2 linked regions of the Lonchura striata genome follow. Each later gene encodes a partner of the first gene's protein in a complex. Links are inferred from orthologs where the notes say so. Each region holds a gene or a part of one and is shown on either strand. Other genes may lie near its edges.

Region 1 (10,126 bases):
GAGCGGAAACTCAAAGGAGCAGAAGTCTCTAGACAGTCCCTAGACTGATTAATCTGCACAATTATAAATAAATTGCAGCTGTTCTGACCATTTTCTTCAAGCTAAACCTCTGAATTCCTTGCAAGCTGATCTCGCTGGAGCATCTGAGCTCAAACAGCTGTAAGGAGCTACCTCTGGGATTCCAAATGTGTCCATCCCTGTGGGAAAGAGAGTCTGGGATTTAGATGATGTGCTTGTTTTGGGTGCCAGAGAAGTCTGTGAGGAGTCAGATGGGTTTAACTGGCTGTTTTTCCTCCCAGAAAAGCCAAGGAGGTATCTCACAAACCAGGTAAGGAGGCACCACTGGGCACTGGCCTTGGTGTTCCAGGGGCCCAAACGAGAGGGTCCCGGGCAGCAGGGAGGGGATGGTGGCAGGGAGCTGCAGGGCTCTGCTCAGGATGGGGCAGAGGAGGGGATGAGATCTGGGTGTGTGCAGGAGGCCAGGTGACAGCCAGCCTGTGCTTGTTCTCAAGGCTGGTCTGACAGCTTTGCTGAAATTGGGCAGTTCCTCTTGTTGCAGCTGATTTGGGTCCCGCTGACCTCTAAAATATCCAGAGAGCTGCTGAACCACCTGTATGAGCTGGTAAATACCAGACACTGAGTTTGCTCAAAATATAAGGGGATATAAACCCAGAAAGCTGTAGACTTATAGACAATTTTCCTTCTTCTGACTTCTCACTTGGTCTATTGGTAGACCAAGAAGAAAGAAACAGCAACGGTGTAGTAAGAAGTGCTATACCTTTGAACTGCATATGCTAAACTAGGAATTGCTGGGACTGGGCCAGGAGCAATGGAGACCTACAGTTCCAGGAAAACAACTGGAAGACAACTGGATCTACAGTTCCAGGAAAGCTACTCCCAAGCATGGAATAGCTGAGGGTGGCTGTAGCTTTCACCTGTGGAACCCATCAGGTGCTGAGGCAGAAACTCCTCAGCAGAGTTCAGGAATTGTGCACTGTCAGGAGTACTGCAGAAGCAGCAGTGTTTGTACCTGGTGAGCTCTTAAGGAGGTTCTGCCCATGCCTCAGGTAAAAGGGAAGGGGGGTAGACTGAACTTTACAAGCTGCTTTTTCTCCAGGTTGTTCAAAAATCCGTTCCGCGCTGGGGGAAGCTCTCCCTGCAATCCATTCTCTGTGCTACAACACGGTACCAACAGCAGATAAAGGTGGATGATATTTTAGCTCACTGGCCTGACCACAGCACCCAGCCAGGAGCTGTTGCTGAGCTCCCAGCTGCCTGCTGGCCTCCACACATTAGGCTGGAAGGCACATACTGGTCTCTTGGGGCATTTTATGCTGGTAAATCCTCCACACAAATCTTTACCTTCTTACAAAATATTTGGTAAAAAATATTGTTGAAAATAGGACCATTTCTAAAATCTATTCAGTAGAAAGGCACAGGAGCTGGTGTGTTGGGAAGCCCTGGCACATTGTTCAACATCAGCTCACAGGGTGGCTTTCTGAAGAAGCTGTTGCACCTTGTCTGTGCAGTCTGCAGCCTGCCCTGGTGGTGTGGCCAGGGGCAGAAGGACAAGGCTGCTGCACCAGTGACACTACAGGGCAGTGGATGGGTTAGGACCAAAATCCTGTTTGGGTTTCCTGATCAAAGAGCCGAGCTTTGTTCTTCACAGGCTTCCCAGATCCAGGCCCCCACGTGGGGAGGGACGTGGGCCCCTGACAGCGGGGTGGGTGGCTGACACTGGCTTTTCCCTGCAGCAAAGCTGGAGATGGAGATCCCAGCTGGCACGTGTCAGCAGCTCCCCCAGGAGCCAGGCTGATCCCCAGCCACTTCACAGCTGCTCTCATTTGGCCAGCTTCAAACCAAAAGTCCCAGGAAGGACTGATCTCAGGGACTGAACCTTAAAGGAAAGAAACTTGGAATGCAAAAGAACATTTAACCCCTTAGGGTTAGTTGATAAAGTGTTTGTTGCATGAACAGCCAAGGACCTACTTCTTGGGTCTCAGTGGGGATTTGCTCAGGGAGCAAATGCCCAAAGGACATCCAGCTTTAGTGGGTAAATGTAGAGTTATGGCCAAATCCTGCTCTGTAGAGGGTACTCTGACCTCAGGCATGCAGACACACCAGTAATGGCCATTTGTACAGCAGCTTAAATAGCAACAGCACTGCAGAGCACACGTCCTCAGGAGAAGGTCAGGGAAGTCCTAGGGAGACCCTGCCTGCCCTTTGTGTCTCCCTGGCTCTCTTATGCATTCCTCCTTCCTTCAAAGCCCTTTGTGCATCCAGGCTGTGGGTTTTGGTTTCATTTCCCAGGTTAGGGTGGGCAGACCATCCTTGTGGGCAGCTGAGGGGAGGGCTGAGCCTTTCCCCAGTGGGTCTCTGGGCAAGGACTGAGGCTGTTGTAATTCTAGAATCCTATGGCTCGTTCTAAGGAGATGAAGGGAAGGATGGGGCAGAGCAGAGAGGTCTGGGGCTGTGGGCAGCGGGCAGGGCTGGTGGGACAGTCTGCAGCCCCTGGAGCTGGGGGATGGAGCCTGCTGCATCCGAGTCCCTGCATCTGCACAGGTCCTGCTCTGGCTGAGACGCAGGTGGCAGCCTGTGCCCATCTCCACCACGTGAAATGTTTGAGTGGTCAATGCTTGCAGTGTTCCTAACCCACAGCTGCTTTTGACAGTGTGAATTTGGGAAAGGTACTTTGTGGGGAAGTATTTCCCCATGGAGGAGTGGGTGCTACAGAAACTCTGCTTTCTTGCAGCCTCTGCTGTGATAGCCTGGGGCCAAGCAGACGAGATTTGGTTTATTTTTGATTTATAGTCCAGCCTTGCTCTGTGAATCTTTTTGGGTTGGCAGCGTTACACTGGCATTAACCCAGTCTCAGATGGGACATCGGGGTCACCGAGCAGCTTTCTGGGAAACCCCCCTGTGACTAAACAGTCTCCTTCCTGCAGAGCTAAAAAATGTCACACTGACTCTGAGCATCTGGCTACTCTGTGCTCCCTGCGAGACCTGAGCACGGGCTCCAAACTTCTACAGGTTTTAATTAAAAGCAAAATGAGATGTAGTCGTTACCGAGGCGACAGCAGCAACATTTAACACTTGGCAAGAGCAGTAAGAAAGCACTGGAGGTGTTGGGGACTCCGCCGGGGGTTGCTCATTTCCGAGAAAACCCGAGGAGCGCATGAAAAGCGCCAGCTCGCTGCGACGGGGAAAATGGAGCAGAAGCTGCACTCCTGCAGCTTTTCCGAAAGAGAAGTTCCATGAGCACCGGGGCGATGCCAAATGCAGCCCTGCGAGGCTGGGGCAGGTGTGGGCATCCCTTGATCCCGCGGGGCTCTGCTCCCCGGGCTGGCCGGAGCAGGGCCGGGCTCGCCGAGGGACGGGGACACGGAAAGCGCCGGGAGGTCCCGCACCGGGGCCGCCCGTCCCGCCGGGCCCCCAGCGGCACTCGTTGGCCGGGAGCGCCCTCTGTTGTGGTGGGAGCGCTGTCGGACAGACGGACCCCGGACAGACGGACCCCGGACACACGGGGTCGGTGGGAGCTCCACGCCCGTTGTCATCCCTGCCGCTGTCCCAGCAGCCTGGCATCCCCCCGCAGGTGGATGTGTGCCCATGGGGATGTGCTGAGCTCCATCCCTCTGCCTCGGGGTCTAGCCCTGCAGCGAGGCCAGATCTGCCTCCGGAAAGGGGTTAGAGAGGAGAGGAAGGCGTGATGCCCTCTCATCCCCCCCCCAGCTCCTAAGGGATTTAGGGTAACGTGGTGTCTGGCGGTGGTGTGAGGCTATTTTGGCACCCACAAGGGCCACGGTGCAGGTGAGGATGGCTCTGCCCCCGTTCGAGCCCTGGTGCTCGGCCCTGCAGCTCCATCAGCAGCCCTGCCCTCCAGCCTCCCCGGGGAGTGCGGCAGTGCCCAGCACCCCCTGAGGGTCCTGGGGCTGAGGACACCGTGGGACACATCCCCTGTACCCGGGGCCAGAGCCGACTCCTCCCCGCCTGCCCGCTCCCCTGCGGGCTCAGCTCCTTCCTTCACCACACCCACGCAAGACAAGGCTGGAAACACGTCCTGAGGGGAACACAAGAGTGGTCCTTGTTGCCCTGTGATAGATTTATTGGCTCAGGTGTCCTCCCCCACAGGGCTGTCCCCCAGCCAGGACCTTTCACAGCTCACAGCAGAGGGTCCCCCTGGGCCAGGCCTACATGAGGAACCTGGAGAGGTCCTCCTTGATTTCAGCTTCATCCCACGGCCCGTGGATGTTGTCCTTGAGCAGCTGGAGGCGGATGAGGCAGTAGGGGCAGAGGCAGGAGACGGCGAGCAGCAGGGAGGCGAAGAGCACGGCGCCCACGCTGGACACCGTGGCCAGCCCCGCCAGCGCTGCCAGCGCAAAGAGCACCGTCACCCCCACGTAGCACCGGGGAGTCCGGGCCTTCAGCTTCTTCTGCAGCATGGGCCACAGCGCGAAGATCTGCATGGCGAAGGTCACCATGACGAAGGCGTGCAGGGAGCGAGGCAGGCGCGAGGCCAGGCACACCGAGGCGAAGATGGCCATGTTGAGGGACAGCGTGCTGGACACGATGGCAGCGTTGGCGCCGTAGTCGAAGAAGATGAGGTGCCCCAGGAGCATGAGGGCTGACATGGCGTAGATGGTGTCCGTGCTGATGGACTCGGTCAGCGTCTTCAGCACCGGCGAGAAGCCGTAGGTGAAGGCGGCGAACACCAGCGTGCTCTTGAGGTCAGCCCAGCGCATCCGCCCGCTCGCCCAGCGCCCGGCCCCGCCGTCCACGGCGTCGAACAGGACATAGCCGAGCAGGGAGGACGCCAGCGCCGCTCCGAACAGCCCCTGCGGGCTCAGCATCCCGGCGTCCATGTACCACCAGGTGAGCACGAAGACGCAGACGCTGCACAGCTGCTGCACCACGGCTCCCGACTGGAAGACCACGGCCTGGTACCGGTACTGCCGGGCGTGCACGTTCTTGCGCAGCTCCTCCAGGAACCGCTGGTCCACGTAGTTATCGGGGAAAGGCTGGCGCTCGTACAGCACCTTCTGCCACCGCCGCCCGGGCCCCGGCTCCATGGCCCCGGCACGGGCGGGGGGACTCCGCGGCACCGCCGCCGCCGGAGGTGGCGCAAGGGACGCCGGGGCGCCCGCGGGCGCCACCTCCCGGCCGGAGCCCCGGGACAACACGGGCCGGAGCCCCGGGACAACACGGGCCGGAGCCCCGGGACAACACGGGCCGGAGCCCCGGGACACGGGCCGGAGCCCCGGGACGGGACCGGCACTCGGGTCCGGCACCGTCACGCCTGAGATGGGTCACGCCCTCTCCCGCCGCCCCGTGTGAGCTTCAGCAGCCTCTGGGGGTGGGTTAAGGCACACCGCAGCTCCGTGCTGGGATCTGCCCATCCCGAGAGCCGCAAGGCCGTGTCCCTCTGGCAGCTGCTGCCGGTGCCTGCTGGGGCTGTCTCGCTTCTGCCCAGCCCCGTAAGCCGGCGGCCCAGCGGGCAGGAGGGATGCTGCTGCCCTGCTCCCAAGGGCTGTCTCCCTGCAGCCCAAAGGCAGCCGCCGAGAAGGGCAGAGCCGGCCGATGGGGTTTAGCCAGAGCCTCTCTGTGCTTGCATATCCCGGTGCTGCTGGGAGCGTGACCTCAGCCCGCGCTGCAAGCCCCACTCCGTGTCCCGGTCCAGAGAGGCACCTGCTTTTCTGGCCAAACCAGGCTCCAGCAGCCAGCTCAGGAATGTGGGTGTGATGCTACAGGGCGCCCTTTCCCTGCAGCTCCTGCCTGCTCACAGCTCAGTCCTGCCCTGCCCGAGAGAGGAGCAGGAGGAGGAAAGCAGGGCTGGAGAGGCGCAGCTCTGCAGGGACTTCCATCCATCTCCTGTGCCGCCCATGTCCACACCAAAGGGACTCAGCAGGTGCAGCAAGAGGACAGGGAGGATTAAGGAAGGTTTCACAGAGGCCAGAGGTCTTTTCTCCAAGCCTGTATTTGCTTGTGCTCAGGTCAGAGCCTTCCCAGCCCCTGAGAAGTTCTTGCTGCTGAGGAGCTGCTTAATTTGGCCTCAGCCGAGAGGCCTCGTCCCGGGGCAAAGCAGCCCTGAACAGTGCCCTGTTTGTGCTGTGGGAAGGGCGTTCATGGCCCTGCTGTCCCAGCGGCAACAGGCGGAGGAGCTGTTGGTTGTTTTCACCCCGGGCCTGTCACAGGAGACTTTGCAAACAGATCCCACCTCATCCAGGTACGTGCAGAGCAGCAGGTAACACCCACACTGCTGCTGTGCCTGTGGGGGACCTCAGGCTGAGCCATACCACAGTGACATCTCACGAGTGCCACCTCCCAGCCCCGTGTCACTGCACTTGCTCGGCAGGGCAGAGGCAGCTGCTCACCCTGTGCAGGTAGCCCATGCCAAGGGGCGATGCCAGCAGGCTCCAAGCCAGGATGGAGCTGGACTCAGTTTCAGCTGCCCTCCCTAAAAGCCCCCAGCCCCACGCTTTGCACAGAGGCATGCACATGCCTCCATGTGCACAAGGCAGTGCCCACAGGAACAGGGAGTGCTGCCAGCTCCTGTGATTGCTGGCATTGCCTTGGTGCCCAGGGCCTGGGAACTTGAGATTTTGAACGAAATGTCCTTCTCCCAAAGTCATAGAGTAAAGCTGGGGCATGCAGGAGGAAAGCTGGGAGAGCAGAGTGCCATTCCTGCTGCTCTGAAAAGTGCCACGACCACCACAGACGAGGAATTCCACCTCCCGTGGGCATGGGCACGGCAATGCTGCACTCTCGCTGTGGGTGGTGACAGCAGGTTTGCTGTAACCTGGCCCTGGGCTGTCTGCACATCTGTGATCTTTGGGGACCAAGAAGAGCAGGCTGGGCTGGAGCACGAGGCTGCTTCCACGTGGTCAGGTTCACGTAGAAACCTCAGCGGAGAGAACAGAGGTGAGGGGTACTTCATGTACCCTTTCAAATCTCTGCTGTGGGCCAGCAAAGTGCCTTTGGAGGCAGGGAGAGGCGGGAGGCTGGGGCAGGTCAGTGACTCACAGCGCTCCTGAGCCACGCTGGTGATGCCAGCAAAGCCAAACCCCTCTGGCAGATCCAGCACGGCGGCTGGAGCCCCACACGGGTGCCCAGCCAGACAAGGGGATCTCTGCCGTTGGCTCTGCCCCCCTGGCAATGCCAGCCAGTGCCGAGGCCCACAGGGCCGGGCACCCACCCGGTGCCTGGGAGACCCCAGCAGGGTCTGGGACGAAGCAGACTGCTGTGCTGGCACTGTCCCTGGGAGGGGACAGCGTGTGACTGCCACGTGTGATGGAACCGGCCACGGTGCAAAGGGCAGCTCAGCCCTGCCCAGGTGGCCCAGACTTTGCTGCAGGGCAGCGACTCCTGCCTGCACAGCTGTCCCTCACCACAGGACCTGCCACGTCACTGTCACCAGCCAGCCCTGCTGCTCAGAGGGGACCTTGTGCCATGGAGTCATCTCTCACCCCTCCTGGGAGCTCTCCTGGAAGGGATAAGCAACAGCTAAGGTCAAGAATACAAAAGTCCTTTGTGAACATCTAAATTCCCACTCCGGGTTCTGTGCCACAAGACCTCCCTCACCTCACAAGTCTCCAAGTGCCACTGGCCTTTGGAGAGGCTGTGGGGTGGCTTGGAGTGTTTGGAGCTCCTCTGCTGAAATGCAGCGATGAGGAGCTGGGTGCCATGGCCCTACAAACTCCGTGTATGCTGAGGCTTGGCTCTGCCCTGCCTCCTGCAAAGGGACCCCACTACAGGTTTGTTCAGTGTCTGCCACCTCTGAATGTTGGGATACACTGCTGAAGTTGTTTGGAGGGAAGGCTGGAAAAGGTGACAGGCTGGAACTGAAATAGCTGGGATTGCTCTGGACTTCCACTGGAGCTATTTGAATACCAAAGTATGGCAGGCACTGCATCCCCACCGCTGGCTCAGGGTTGCCTCCAGGTGTGTCTGATTCCCCCGGGACGGGCCCATCACTTGTGCTGCAGGGACAGGCCTCACAGTAACTGAGCAGCACACTCTGCTAAGGCTCCGAGCGGCCTGAGGCTGCACGGATGAGGACGGATCCCGTACCCCTCCCTGTCCCTCAGACAGGGCTCTTCCCTGCATCCCTGCGTGTCACCCCGCAGGAATGACACGGCACAGCCGTGGATTCTTGGGCTTCATTTCTCTGCCGAGCCATCCCCCAAGCCTTCCCCTTTGACCCTGGAGCCAAACCGTCCCTCACAGGAATGTTGTTCAGGAGGGGGGAGGTTGGCGCAGCTCCAGCTGCTGCATTTTTCCATGTCCAGAGATGTCTCCTGCCTTAAAGGCCCCATGACACAGGCTATGCCTGCTCTCCTGCAGTCACCTATTTAAGGACTGTTTGGATTCAGTCCCCAGCACGGACTGGGACGACACCAGCCCAGTGCCTTGCAGCTGGGCTGAGCCCCATAGGGGGATACTGGGGCAGACAGGGCTGCTTGCCTGGGGAGCCCTGCAGGGCCCAGACACGGAGGAGTCTGGTGCTGCTCCAGCTCTCCCAGGCTCTCCCTTTCCTCCGTGCAGGTCAGATTTCCTGAGCTGAGATGAGGAGGTACCAAGGCTGCTGGAGAAACCCTGCTCAGAGCCAGGCTGAGCAGTCCAGGAAAATGGGATTGGGTCTGAGAAGCCCACACTGGACTGGCATCTGCCTGGGCAAGGTTTGGGATTTGCTGAGCCTGTTGCAGGGGGAGAAGGATGGGAAGGCTGAGGGTCTGGCTGAGAATGTGGGGCAGGAGAGATGACATGTGGAAAGGTACGTGTCTGCAGGGATGTGACCTCTGGAACACAGCACGTGGGGAGGGTTTGAAACTGAGCTCCCTCACTGCTGGCATTCCCTGACGGTCAGCATGGATCTCCACAGCCCTTTGGAGCTGTCCCAGCACCCACTCCGGGCTCTGGAAAAAGGGACAAGCCAGCCCAGCCCAGGGCCTGGCCAGCTCCAGGGCAGTAGGTCACAGCAGGACCTGTTTTGCAGGGGAACTCCATCAGGGTCAAGCTGTCACCTAGTAAAGATGTTTTTGTTTATAATCTGCTTTAAAAGAAAAAAAAAAAAACAAACAAAACTCTAGGAAACTACAGCCAAAGGTGACATTAGCAATGTGCTCTGCCAGTTGCAGGGTGCTCCAGGGTGGCATGAGTCCAAAGTTCAGCAGCTCAGGTAAGCTCAGCTCAAGCTTCAGCTGTATGTGGCACATCTCTAGCACAGAGATGCAGGAAGGAAACCACACCTGGGGATAAAATAATAAAACTGCCCCTGGGACCTGAGCATGGGTTGTCATGGAAGCTGGAAACCGAGGTTTGGGAACAAGGAAGGTCTTACAGTCCACACGGGTGTCTCCAAGACCTGGCACAGCAGGGCTGGGGCCCCAAAACAAAGCTTTGCCAAGAGGTTTCTCACTGTTCCACCTTGTTTAGCCCTAAATGTGTAGTGTAGGGATGGGATGTGAACTGCTGACCCAGCTCTTCCACAGTTGGTGGAAAGGCATCAAGAGCTGCAGGTGGCAAAACACGGAAAACCCAACTGCACAGAGGGCAAAAGCAATGTCCCCCCAAGGGATGGAGCCCCACAGCAGCTCCCCAGTGCTAACTCTGCCTGCCCTGAGCCTCCTACAGCAGCCACTTCCCTCCCCTTGCAGCTCTGGGACACAGGGGGAGAAGTGTGAAGGACCCAGAGTTTGTAACAAGGTTTGTATGTCTGCCATGGAGACATTTTCATTCTGTAAAGGGGGATATTGGAGGAAACCGTGTATGCACACACTGTTGGTTTTTCTAGGAAGTGTAGCTGGGGAAAAATTGCTGTGCACAGGTCAAAAAGAGGTTGCAACTCCCTGTTTCAGCCTGGTGTGCTGTGAGAGGATCCTGCTCTGTGCTCACCTTCCTATTTGCCTAGTAAAGAATAAAGAAGCTTTTGTTCAAACACAGCATGGCCTCAGTCTGGAAACACAGTGATTTCCCAGGAGATACTCACAGCAGGAGCCCTTCCTGCCCTCTCCCCTGGAGCTCCAAGCAGGAGCCCAGGTGCTCGGTAAGAGCAGTGATGTGGGGCTGAGGGGTGTTTCACACCTGCAGTGCTTCTCCCTGCAAAACCAGCTCCTCCTGTCCCAAACCACGG
Region 2 (10,282 bases), on another chromosome or scaffold:
AATAACTGTGTTCTTCTGGACAACCATACTTTCTCCTGTGGAGATGTTCAAAGTTTATGAAAGTTAAAGGCTCGAGCACACAGTATAAATCAGACTTGTTAAATTTTGTTCAGACTTGAATATCGTTTTGGCCGAGAATGCAGAATTGGGCCACAAAGTTTAGACTCTCAAATTTGTATTTATGCAGATAAATAAACTAAAAATTGCAGCAGGCCTATTCCTCTGTGATTACATGATTTGGAGCTTTAAATCTTCACTATCCCCCTGCAAATATCTTTTCCAGACAACAATGAGGAACATGAATAGAGAATTGTGGAAACATGAAAGACACTCCAAGGGAAATACACTTTTTCTGATGGAGTCCTGTTAAGGGATCTTAATTGTAGATGAAAATTGCTTTCCTTCTAGTTTATACATGGCTTTCTAAGACTTCCCACTGTGGAGCACTGTGCTTCTTGAGCACTTTTATCCCATAACTTCTGTGCAGGGTCTCAGAACCCTTTCTGAAGAAAGCTCTGTCAGTCCTGTCCTGCCAGACAGACACAGCTCACTAGTTCTGCTGTTGATATATTGTGTGTTTCAATGCAGGTGAACTCCAAAACTGGTTTCAGAGTATGTGAAAGGAACTTCCATGTACATGAAGTGGGAGGGATTATTGACATATGTTCACGCTTCTATACAGTAGTAAGTATAAATCTTTCCAGCAGTGCAGAACACTATTTTTTAAATTTAAATAGTTTATATATATCTATATATATACCTACATCTATATATATACATAGAAGCAAACTCTAGAGACTAACCCAGCGCATTTCAAAGGCACCTCATTTTCCCTAGTCCTCCAAAGCTCTAAATTATGCAAGCTCTTTACCATCCCAGTGTTCCAGCAGCTACAGTTATCCAGCAGCTATCTTTCCTGAGATGATCCCATCTCTGGTTCTGAGAGTTGGAGCTGCCCTCCAGCATCTTAAAACAGCTCTGTTTGCTTTGAACTAATAATCATTGTGAAATAACAGCACGAGAGATTGTTTCTATACTTTTGTGTTTCTCTGGATTTTATTATGTTTAATTAAGAGAAGTATTTTGAGGTGTCTTTAAACTTTTATTTAGAAATCCTATTGAGCATTTCAATGTATTTACATCTTAAAACAAAGCTGTGGTAATAAAAAATAATCTGTGGCATTTCTTGACACAGAGTGAAAATTAGCTACCAAATGCAGTCAGTGTCAGAGGAAGCAGCATGAAATGGAAATGTGCATAGTAGGAGTTTCCTTTGGCAAAAAAAAAAAAAGTAAGCTTTTATGCAATTTGTAGGGCAATGGGCTAATTCCTTCAAAAGCTTTTGTTTGCTAATGTACCAATTTTGTACCAATTAGCCAGAGTGGAGGAGGAAGTTTGAGCAACAGCATAGAATCAAAAGCCAATTAGCATGTTACCTGAAGTTGGTACCTTATCACACTGTAGGTGTAACACTTTAAATTAGATTGTTTTTTTAGATCAGCATCTGGTTTTGGAATTACATATAATAAACCCAGCAGTTTTTAAAAACAGTATGTCATAACCTGAGTATCCAGGACATTTTGGTTTAGTTGAATTATGGAAGATACTGTTAAAATTACTCTGTTTTATTCTAGAGGCACTACTGTAGACAAGTGTCTGTCTGCACAGAGAGGTTAGATGCCTCTCTCTGCTTCTCACTCACAGGAGTGTGTAGGAGCCGTTTTTAGGATGTGAACCTCTGTTACTGCAGTGTTCATGCACTCGAAGTCTCATTTCAGAGACACGGAACTTTGCCAGGGTACAGACTGACAGTTCAGTCTGCAGATATGTCCCTGAGCTCTGGTTTTGCAAGGGAAAATCAGCATGTCTTTTCTTCCTTGTCCTTTCAGACAGTCCTAAAGAGGCTGAGCAAGTATCCATGCATCTTCGAAAGGGAAAAGAAGATCTGCGTTCATACTACAGAATGCAGGGTTCTTCTGTCCAAGACCATGCACCCTATTGTAAGTGCAGCCAATTTTGTTACCAATCAGAAGAGATAAACACACTGCTAACAGACTGTTACTTCAATCCTTGGATACCCTTTATTCAGATGCCCTTTATATGCATCCCTGAGGCATGGAATTTTTGCGTCCGAAGACACTGCCTTCTCCAGGATATGTGGAAAAATTTAAAAACCGCCTCAAACCAAGATTTCAGGAAGATGTTAAAGGTAAGATACTAAATTGTATTACTTGTTAGCTCTTAGTATCTTGCTGCAGTGTTCTTTGATTTTCAGTGTTACTGTATATTGGCAGAAGGGATTCAGTATCCTCTGAGCATCCAGCAAAAGAACTGCTCCTCAAATTATTATAAAACATGTTCCCTAGATGGTGTAGGGTAAATCTGGAGGCGGCATTTCCTTATTCCAGGCAGCTTTGTTGGCATAAGTTAAATGCAAGTGGCAGTGCTGTTTACTGTGAAGTGGCTTTGAGGTAATGGAATAGAACTGCTCAGTCATCAAAGTCATGTACTGTTGCTGCTAGACTGACTTTTGAGACTTCCTTCTAGCACATTAAAACCCCAGCGTCTGGGGAAGCAGCCTGAGGGGTCAGCAAGCAACACAGCCACAAAACTACATTTCTCTCATGGAGATGCTGTCTGAAGGGGAAGGAAGGATAGTGCCTGCCAGAGAGATGAGCATCTGATTACAATGCTGCTGTCTCCATGTGCCTTTAATCTGTGGCTTCCACACTGATCCGAAGGTTGTGGCAGTTGCGTTTCCCACAGGAATCGTGATGCTGGCCCTGTCCTGCAAAAGCCGTTAGCTGACTGATGTGGGAATGGGACATCAGCCATCTGCCCAGAGCAGGGCTCAGCTCAGGGACCACGGGCCCCACCTGCCACTAACACAAATTCTGGCACCACGCTTGTGCCACAGGAACCACGGACCTTGGTGCCATGGTGCTTTCCAAGTGAGCTTTCTTGCCAACCAGAGTTGTCAAGGCTTTTCTTTCCCATTTACTTTGGACAAAATTCACAAAGACTCCCAGAGCTACCTTTCCTTCCTGGCTCCTCACTATTTGAGAGAGGCATTTATTTAGAGAGGCAGTGAGGGTGTGCTCTGTACTGTCCTCTATATTTCAAGTCTCCACCTATTGTACAAGCTCTGACAACCAGCTGCCCTTAGCTCAAGTCAGCCTTTGGGCACACCTCCTGAGCACTGCCTTTCACACTGTGCATCACAATATTATTCAGCAGCAGCCTGAAAAATGTAACTGCACTGTTAAGTGTCCCACAGCATTTACAGCCTGGTGCAGCATTTACAACTTGGTGCCTCATTTCTTAATTTTTCAGCAATTTCATGTTTCAAAGGACATTAATATGTTTTGCATTGCAGATACAAACTACCCAAAAGCAAAACATAAAGAAGAAACCTTCATTGTAGCACTGGCCTGCTCCCTTCATAGCTGTGTGCTGTTAAGAACTTGGCATGTGGCATTCTCATCGTGGCCCTAGAAAGAAAAGATCTGCATGTACTTCACATACAGACATGGGTATCATCCCAGAAAGAAATGTCTTCAATTGACTCATCTCAAGTCTTGTTATTAAACACCAGCCTGATGTATTTTAATTTTTGCTCTTCTGACAGTGAGACAAACATATTTCAGTACACACATCTGGTTAAAAAGCCCCAAAGCTCTCAGAGAGATTCATATCATAGCATGTTTTAATTTTAATCTAGTTTATTCAGTCAGGGTACAGTTCTTCCTCATGAAACCTAAGGTTCTAATTAGTCCCACTACAAATGCACAGCACTCTTGAAGGGATAAAAGTGAGGGAATTAGTGCTTTGTATTACTCCTACCCTTCATGTGCATTAGCAGTAGTTAACAATGGGCTGCTGCTTCCTACAGTTCCAGATCCTACCAGGAAAATTATGACAGTCCCTAGTACCAGAGGGAAACTCTCAAAATGAACTGCAATACTTGATGAGATTAAACAAATTATGTTGATTTAGAGAAGCCAGGGGTTAGCAAAGGCACTGCACTAGTTGTGCCTAAAAAGCTTAATCCCCATCCAGGTCCAGAGGTGAAAGAACACATAAACTGGTACTGTAACAGGAAGGAGGAGACTGTAGAAACACAGGCTGGTTGTGCTGGTGCAGCCCTGGGGGAAGTTTTCGTCCACGCTGGCCGAGTAGAACAGGCCTGCCAGGGACAGGAGGGGAACGAGGACAGTCAGCGTGGGCAGGGAGGGCAGCAGCCCTGCTCCGGCCATCAGGCCGGGTGAGCGCCGTGCACGGCGGCTCCTCACGGCTGCTCCGGACCCTCGGCCGGCGGCTTCTTGTTCGTCCTCCTGGCCGCCTCCGGAACCAAGTTCGGGATGCCGTCGATGATGGGATACGCGATGCCCAGCTCCTCGTTAATGAGCTCGTTCGTAGCTTCTTCGTACCTGGTCAGCCAAGTCAGGAGAGGGGGAGAAACATCCAAGCGAAAACATGAGGAGCAGGGACTAACTAACCTGGGTTCGCGCAGGGCTCGGGCGCGGCTCCCCCGCCCCATCCTCACCTCAGCGGCCGCTTGGAGAGCGGGCACACCAGGAAGCGCAGCAGCGATGGCTCCAGGGGCTGCGGCCACGCTGAGCCGGAGCCCGAGCCGGAGTTGGGGCCGGATCCCGAGGCCGAGCCCGAGGTTTGCTCCCGCTGGCTATGGCAGTGCCGGCCGTGCGCGGGGCCGGGGCCGGGGCCGGGGCCGGGGCCGGGGCCGGGGCCGGGGCCGGGGCCGGGGCCGGGGCCGGGGCCGGGGCCGGGGCCGGGGCTGGGGCCGGGGCGGGCCGGCCGCCGCAGCAGCAGCGGCAGCAGGGCCGGGCCCCGCAGCATGGCCGCCGCTTCCGCCGCGCTCTGCCCGGCCCGCCCCTGCGCGGCGTTCCGAGGGCACGGAGGATCAAGGTTATCCTAAGGCCGGATGCCTTTCCATGTGTGATCTTTGGACACTGTCAAGCTTAATCAGGAAAAAAGGAGACCTAGTCAGTGGAAAAGGCAGCAGCCAGCATTCCCTAGCCAAGGACATCCGGGAACTGAAAAGCCTTAAAGATGCAGTAAATGAAGATGTTGATGTATATACATTGCTAACTTGTCCATATATGAATTGCTAACTTGGTCCACGTAGCCTGTAGCTGAACTGTGTTAATTGTAATAGTTAAAATCATGCCCACAGGGCAGTGAGACCCCTGCCCAGTTGAAGACCCTTACCCTGAGCATGTGTGGAAGTTATCTGGGGTTAAGGAACTTGTTTGAAAATTGCTAACCAAGCATAACAGACTTGGACAGTTACTAACTCTGAACTTCTGTGTACAAATAATGGCTCAAAAAGTCTGGTGGAATGTGCTTGATTTGTGGATTACTACCGAGTACCCAGCTTGGCACAACTGTGAGATAAATAATCAGCGTCTCTCGGTTGTGTAATTACTGGCGTGTTGCATACCAGGTAAGGAACCTGGTTTTGTGGCCAACATGGATGTCTCTATCTGCGGGTGTCTCGGGCCTTGCAGGTGTCTTTTTTGGGTGAGATGGGGGTGGACGAAGGTGCGGTGTCCCAGGAGTTCTTCAGTGTTGCAGCCAGGACCCTCTGCCAGCCCAGCACCAGTGCCTTCTGCCACTTCGCCTCCGGCCTCGTGTGGTTCCCCAGAGAGGTAAGCCAGCCCTGCAGGGGTGGATGGGTGCCCCACCTATGGGAAAAGGCAGTCATGGCTTGTTCCTAACCAGTTGTGCTTGTTCCTAACCAGGCCCGAAGCTGTGAGGATGAGGACACCTTCCTCTTAATTGGGACACTGTGTGGAATGGCCCTGTTTAACCTGCGCATGGTGCCCTTCCCCTTCCCCAGGGCTCTCTATAAAAAGCTACTGGACCTGGTCCCCACCCTAGAGGACCTTGAGGATCTGCTGCCAACCATGGGCCGGTATGACCCAGCTTTGGCTGGGTCCCTTGACTTGACCATGCACTGGGAGATCCCAGAGGCTGAATTTGGGGCACCCACAGCATCTACATTTGCCTTTGTGAAGCTGCTAGAAGCCACAAAGGAGGTCCTTGGTCAGATTTCCAAGGAGGTCCTTGTCCAGGGCATGGATGTTGCTCTCAGAGGCTGGCATTGCCAAAACAAAATGCCAAACCTCGTGACTTAGAAGGTGTCAGATCTCTGCTCCACCAGAGTTTAAATCCACCCTGTGAATATATAAGGGCTGTAGTTTGGACTTTAAAGAACTAATGACTCAATTATTAATGGTGGGATTTTTTTCCTGATTTACTAATTATCAATTTCCACTATATTGCCTTGCACAAGTACAGTATTACAAAGTGCTGCCAATTCTGAGAACCCTTGTACAAAGTTTCCATGCACTGGGAGAGGAGATATCAGGCAGGCATAAGGGGCAGAGGTGCTGCTGCCACCAACATAATGCTTCGAGGCCCCTGAAGCCCAGTTTTCCAGGCAAGTGATACAAGCAACCAAGAAGATGAGAACCCCATCCCATGACCCAGTGACTGTGTTGAAGTGCTAAATTCACTGAGGTTCCTCAGTGAATTGGAACACAAGGTTGCCTGCAATACTTGGAAAGGTGATGCACCCCATAACAATTCTCCCAGATCATCTCTCTGTTGCACACATAATTCCTCACTAGATAATGTCTGGAAGCAATGATTCCAAACCCAGTTGTCACTGAACTTTGTGTAAAGTTGTGCACACAGGGCATGGGGATGGACTTGCCTGGGAACATTTTTTACTGGAGGCATTTGTGCTGAGCTTATGTCAGCAGCATGATGAAATTTCAGTGCCATATATCATGTTTATGTCTAAGTGTAGGTGTTGTGTACATGTATGCATTTAAATACTGCCTGTCAAAAGATGTTTTTAGCAGAATTTTCAAGTGCGCTGAATGCTCACATTTCTTCTCTCTTTGATCCCTTTTGTGTTTGGATAGGAGTCTCCGGAAAATTTTGAATGATGAAAGTGATAGTTTGGACTTGGACTTCACGGTAAGACATCCTACGTAGGTACTCAGGCAAGACATGTCCCAGTGCAAAGACCACAACTTGTCTGTAAACTCAGACTAGTGAATGCCATGTCAGGCCCTTCAGGAGGAATGAGAGGTGTAGCACATAAATATCTGTCACATATAGATAGAGCAGCCAGTGTTTTAATTTATTTGCATAGATAATGGAAGGAGGAGATTCCACGGATGTTGTTGAACTTAAAGAAAATGGTGCCAACATTCCTGTCACTAAGGATAACAGGTCAGTTTTATTTTTATATTTCTTAATCCTGTTTTCTTGTTACAAATGTATGAAATAACATGTCTGCACCCATCCCCATATATTGTTAGAAAATATTGACTTCTGTTTTGTGCCATTAGTCTTGGTCCAGTAGATTGTACACTTTCAGTTCCTGCTGTACTTGCTGCACACGTGCAAAAACTGTCAGTTTGTGCAAGCAGTGGATAACATGGTGATCCTTGGATATCCTGATATCTGCATATACAGATACCTGGCATTAACAGGAAAATTCCTAACAAATGTAAAAAATAACCTTGAACAGTATTTTCAGGCAGAAACAAATCATTTGTTTGTGAAACCCAGCACACCTCTGTAAGGGTTCTTTAAGAGCAAAATGTTTCCTGCTTAGTTATGTGTATGGAATGTATCTTGTACATAAAGGAGAAGGAGAAATATATCAATAAGGCTTTATGACAATATTATTATGTGTATTATTATGTATTATTATGTATCAATATTAATCTCTGCACAGAGGACAGAAATAAATTTTGTGTCCTGAATTATGCAGATGACCTGAGGACCCATAAGGATCCATGAAAGGGCTGTTTAAGAAGCTTGAAGTAGAGCATTTACATTGAATTGATCATATAGTACAATGTCACTACACAAATCCCCATCTGAAGTAGAGATAAGAGTGAAACTATTAACAGCTATGCAAATATTTATTTCTATTTCAGGGAAATTCTTGGGCATTCAATGGGAGTTAGGTCTGCTAGGTTCCATCTTTTATAATAACCAGGTGTCTGACAGGAATTGGAGCATTCACATGAAGAAAAAGGAGTGTTACCAAAATGAATCCATTCTGGCCAGCATTCGCTTTTATTTCTGAAGATGCTCCCAGCTTACTCAGTGAAAAACTAACTGCCATTGACAACTGATCTCAGTGAAGACTGAGTCTGTACACCAAAGCAGGTCATATGGAATAAAGGAATTAAGTATAAAGTTCTCTGTAATTCTTCTTTTAGAAAAGCACCACCAATGCTTGTTTGGTATCTGTTGCAGGAAAGAATATGTTGATTTGTATGTGAATTATATGTTCAATAAATCAGTAAAGAAGCCATTTGAGGACTTTATGCAAGGGTTCTTAAGAGGCTGCCCAGCTAGAAATTGGAAGATGTTTTTCCCTGAAGAGCTGCAAGTTCTTCTCCAGGGATGCACAACATTTGACTGGCATCTGCTGGAAAAGGTATTGTATACAAGCACAGTGTCCTTCTGTTCTGTCTGATAAGCATAAACTACTTCTGACCTGTTCTTTCATTGAGTGCATAACAGATGGACAGAAGCTCAAGGAACTTTGTCTTGTTTTGATTAGTGTCTATATTCTGCCTCTAATCTATGTCAGCCACAAGAATAAAGGGGAATAGGTATCAAGCCATAACTCAGGGATTGTCATATGAATCTTTGAAAAACAAATGAACAAGCAGATTCCAGAGGTTAAGGGGATTTGAATATCTATGAACAGGATTATAAAATGTATCAGACAAAATGTTGCTTTAAATATAAATGGAAAAATTGAAATATAAACCTGGCCTGTTTTATTTTTATCTCTTTGACAGAATGTGACATACAGACAGTATACAAAGTTAGATCAAACCATCAGAAATTTTTGGACTGTGTTTCACAAGTTACCAGAAGAAAAAAAGAAAATGTTGCTTGGTAATATATCAGTCATTTTAAACTTTGCATAGCCCTTTTCTTCCCCCCACAACACACATAGTATATACTATACTATAGTTCTAATTAGTAGCTTTTCAATGTGTTCACCCCTGCTGCTGCCACATTTTCTAGAGAAAACCACAAAAAAATAACACAAGGAATTGCACAGGGACAACTCAGACCCCTCTCACATCCCCTGAGGTTTGCCCAGTGCATTGGACCACCCTGAAATTTGCAGTTACTTTATCCCTTACTTTTGTGGTTTTTTTGTTGGTCAGAGGCTGCAGTTTGTGAGAGTACACTGTGTTGATGTAAACAATTTACCCTTCTCAAAGCGTTGCAGAAGCTAGGTCATTCTTTTTAAAGGTAGAAGGCCAGACCTAGCCTGGCCTTTCTCATCCACAGTGTCTATAATCTAGAGTAGAAGAGGGCTTGTAACTACTGTGAATAGGTAAGAGACTTTTATCTATATTCAGCTGCAAATTCAACAAAGCATAATACTTAGCTTAGAAAAATATCTGTATGTTTTCACTATTTTCCCTTCATGATTTTCATTAACATTAATTATTTTAATGATTTTCAGTTAACATTTGATTATTCTGTTTTTCAATTTGCTAACTTTTTCTTGTTTTTCTTTTTTTCATTATTTCAGCTTTTTTGTCAGGATCTGATCGAATCTCTGGCTATGGACTGGAGTGTTTTAGATTTTGTATTGAAGATCCTCAAGTAGAAAATCCAGATGAGAGCCTTCCCTATGCCAGTATTTGCTATCTGACTTTGTTCCTCCCCAGATATAGCAATAAAAAAATACTCAAAAAGAAGTTGCTTTATGCCATAGAGAATAATGAAGGTTTTGGCCGTGCCTAACTCTGGGATAGAAGCACTTAAAAGCAAAAATAAGAATATGAGTCTTCGTTCACTTGCCATATTTTCTCTTAATAACTCAAATTTACTGGTTTCTACCCTGCCTTATTTTTACTGCACCTTATAAACACCTGAGTGTGTGTATTTGCTGAGATTTTACATTGTTTATAAAATTAAGCTTCGACCAGATATTTCATAGTTAGATTGTAAAGTTAGGAAAGAAGAATCCTCTTTGGCACACTTCAGAGAAGCAAGCTGATAACCATTCATATTTACATGTACGTGCAGGCAGGGTCTACACTATTCTGGTTATGTTAGGACAGTGAGCTCCCAGCAGCAGGAATTCTGTGATTTGTATTTATGCATTAGGAAGCACACAACCAGGATGTGCTAAGCAGTCACCCTTGCAAAGCAAAGCTGGGGTAAGGTTTTAATCTGTGTTACTTAAATGTTCTCA

Evidence for each region.
Region 2: PIGC (region 1) and PIGY share a complex: the UniProt entries of both Homo sapiens proteins name them as parts of the glycosylphosphatidylinositol-N-acetylglucosaminyltransferase (GPI-GnT) complex. The link is inferred for Lonchura striata from reciprocal best matches to the Homo sapiens genes PIGC and PIGY.

What each region holds. Positions count from the first base shown.
Region 1 is NC_134611.1:410,651-420,776, reverse strand, and holds PIGC (phosphatidylinositol N-acetylglucosaminyltransferase subunit C), read right to left. Parts: upstream 5,079-10,126; 5' UTR 5,067-5,078; coding exon 4,188-5,066; 3' UTR 4,079-4,187; downstream 1-4,078. UniProt on the Homo sapiens protein: Part of the glycosylphosphatidylinositol-N-acetylglucosaminyltransferase (GPI-GnT) complex that catalyzes the transfer of N-acetylglucosamine from UDP-N-acetylglucosamine to phosphatidylinositol and participates in the first step of GPI biosynthesis.
Region 2 is NC_134606.1:58,610,697-58,620,978, reverse strand, and holds PIGY (phosphatidylinositol N-acetylglucosaminyltransferase subunit Y), read right to left. Parts: upstream 4,289-10,282; 5' UTR 4,257-4,288; coding exon 4,026-4,256; 3' UTR 3,577-4,025; downstream 1-3,576. Other genes in the region: PYURF (protein preY, mitochondrial), read right to left, coding at 4,289-4,430, 4,547-4,795, 5,134-5,186; putative E3 ubiquitin-protein ligase HERC4, read left to right, coding at 589-684, 1,890-2,000, 2,090-2,209, 5,529-5,669, 5,763-5,935, 6,954-7,008, 7,187-7,266, 8,308-8,491 and 2 more. UniProt on the Homo sapiens protein: Part of the glycosylphosphatidylinositol-N-acetylglucosaminyltransferase (GPI-GnT) complex that catalyzes the transfer of N-acetylglucosamine from UDP-N-acetylglucosamine to phosphatidylinositol and participates in the first step of GPI biosynthesis.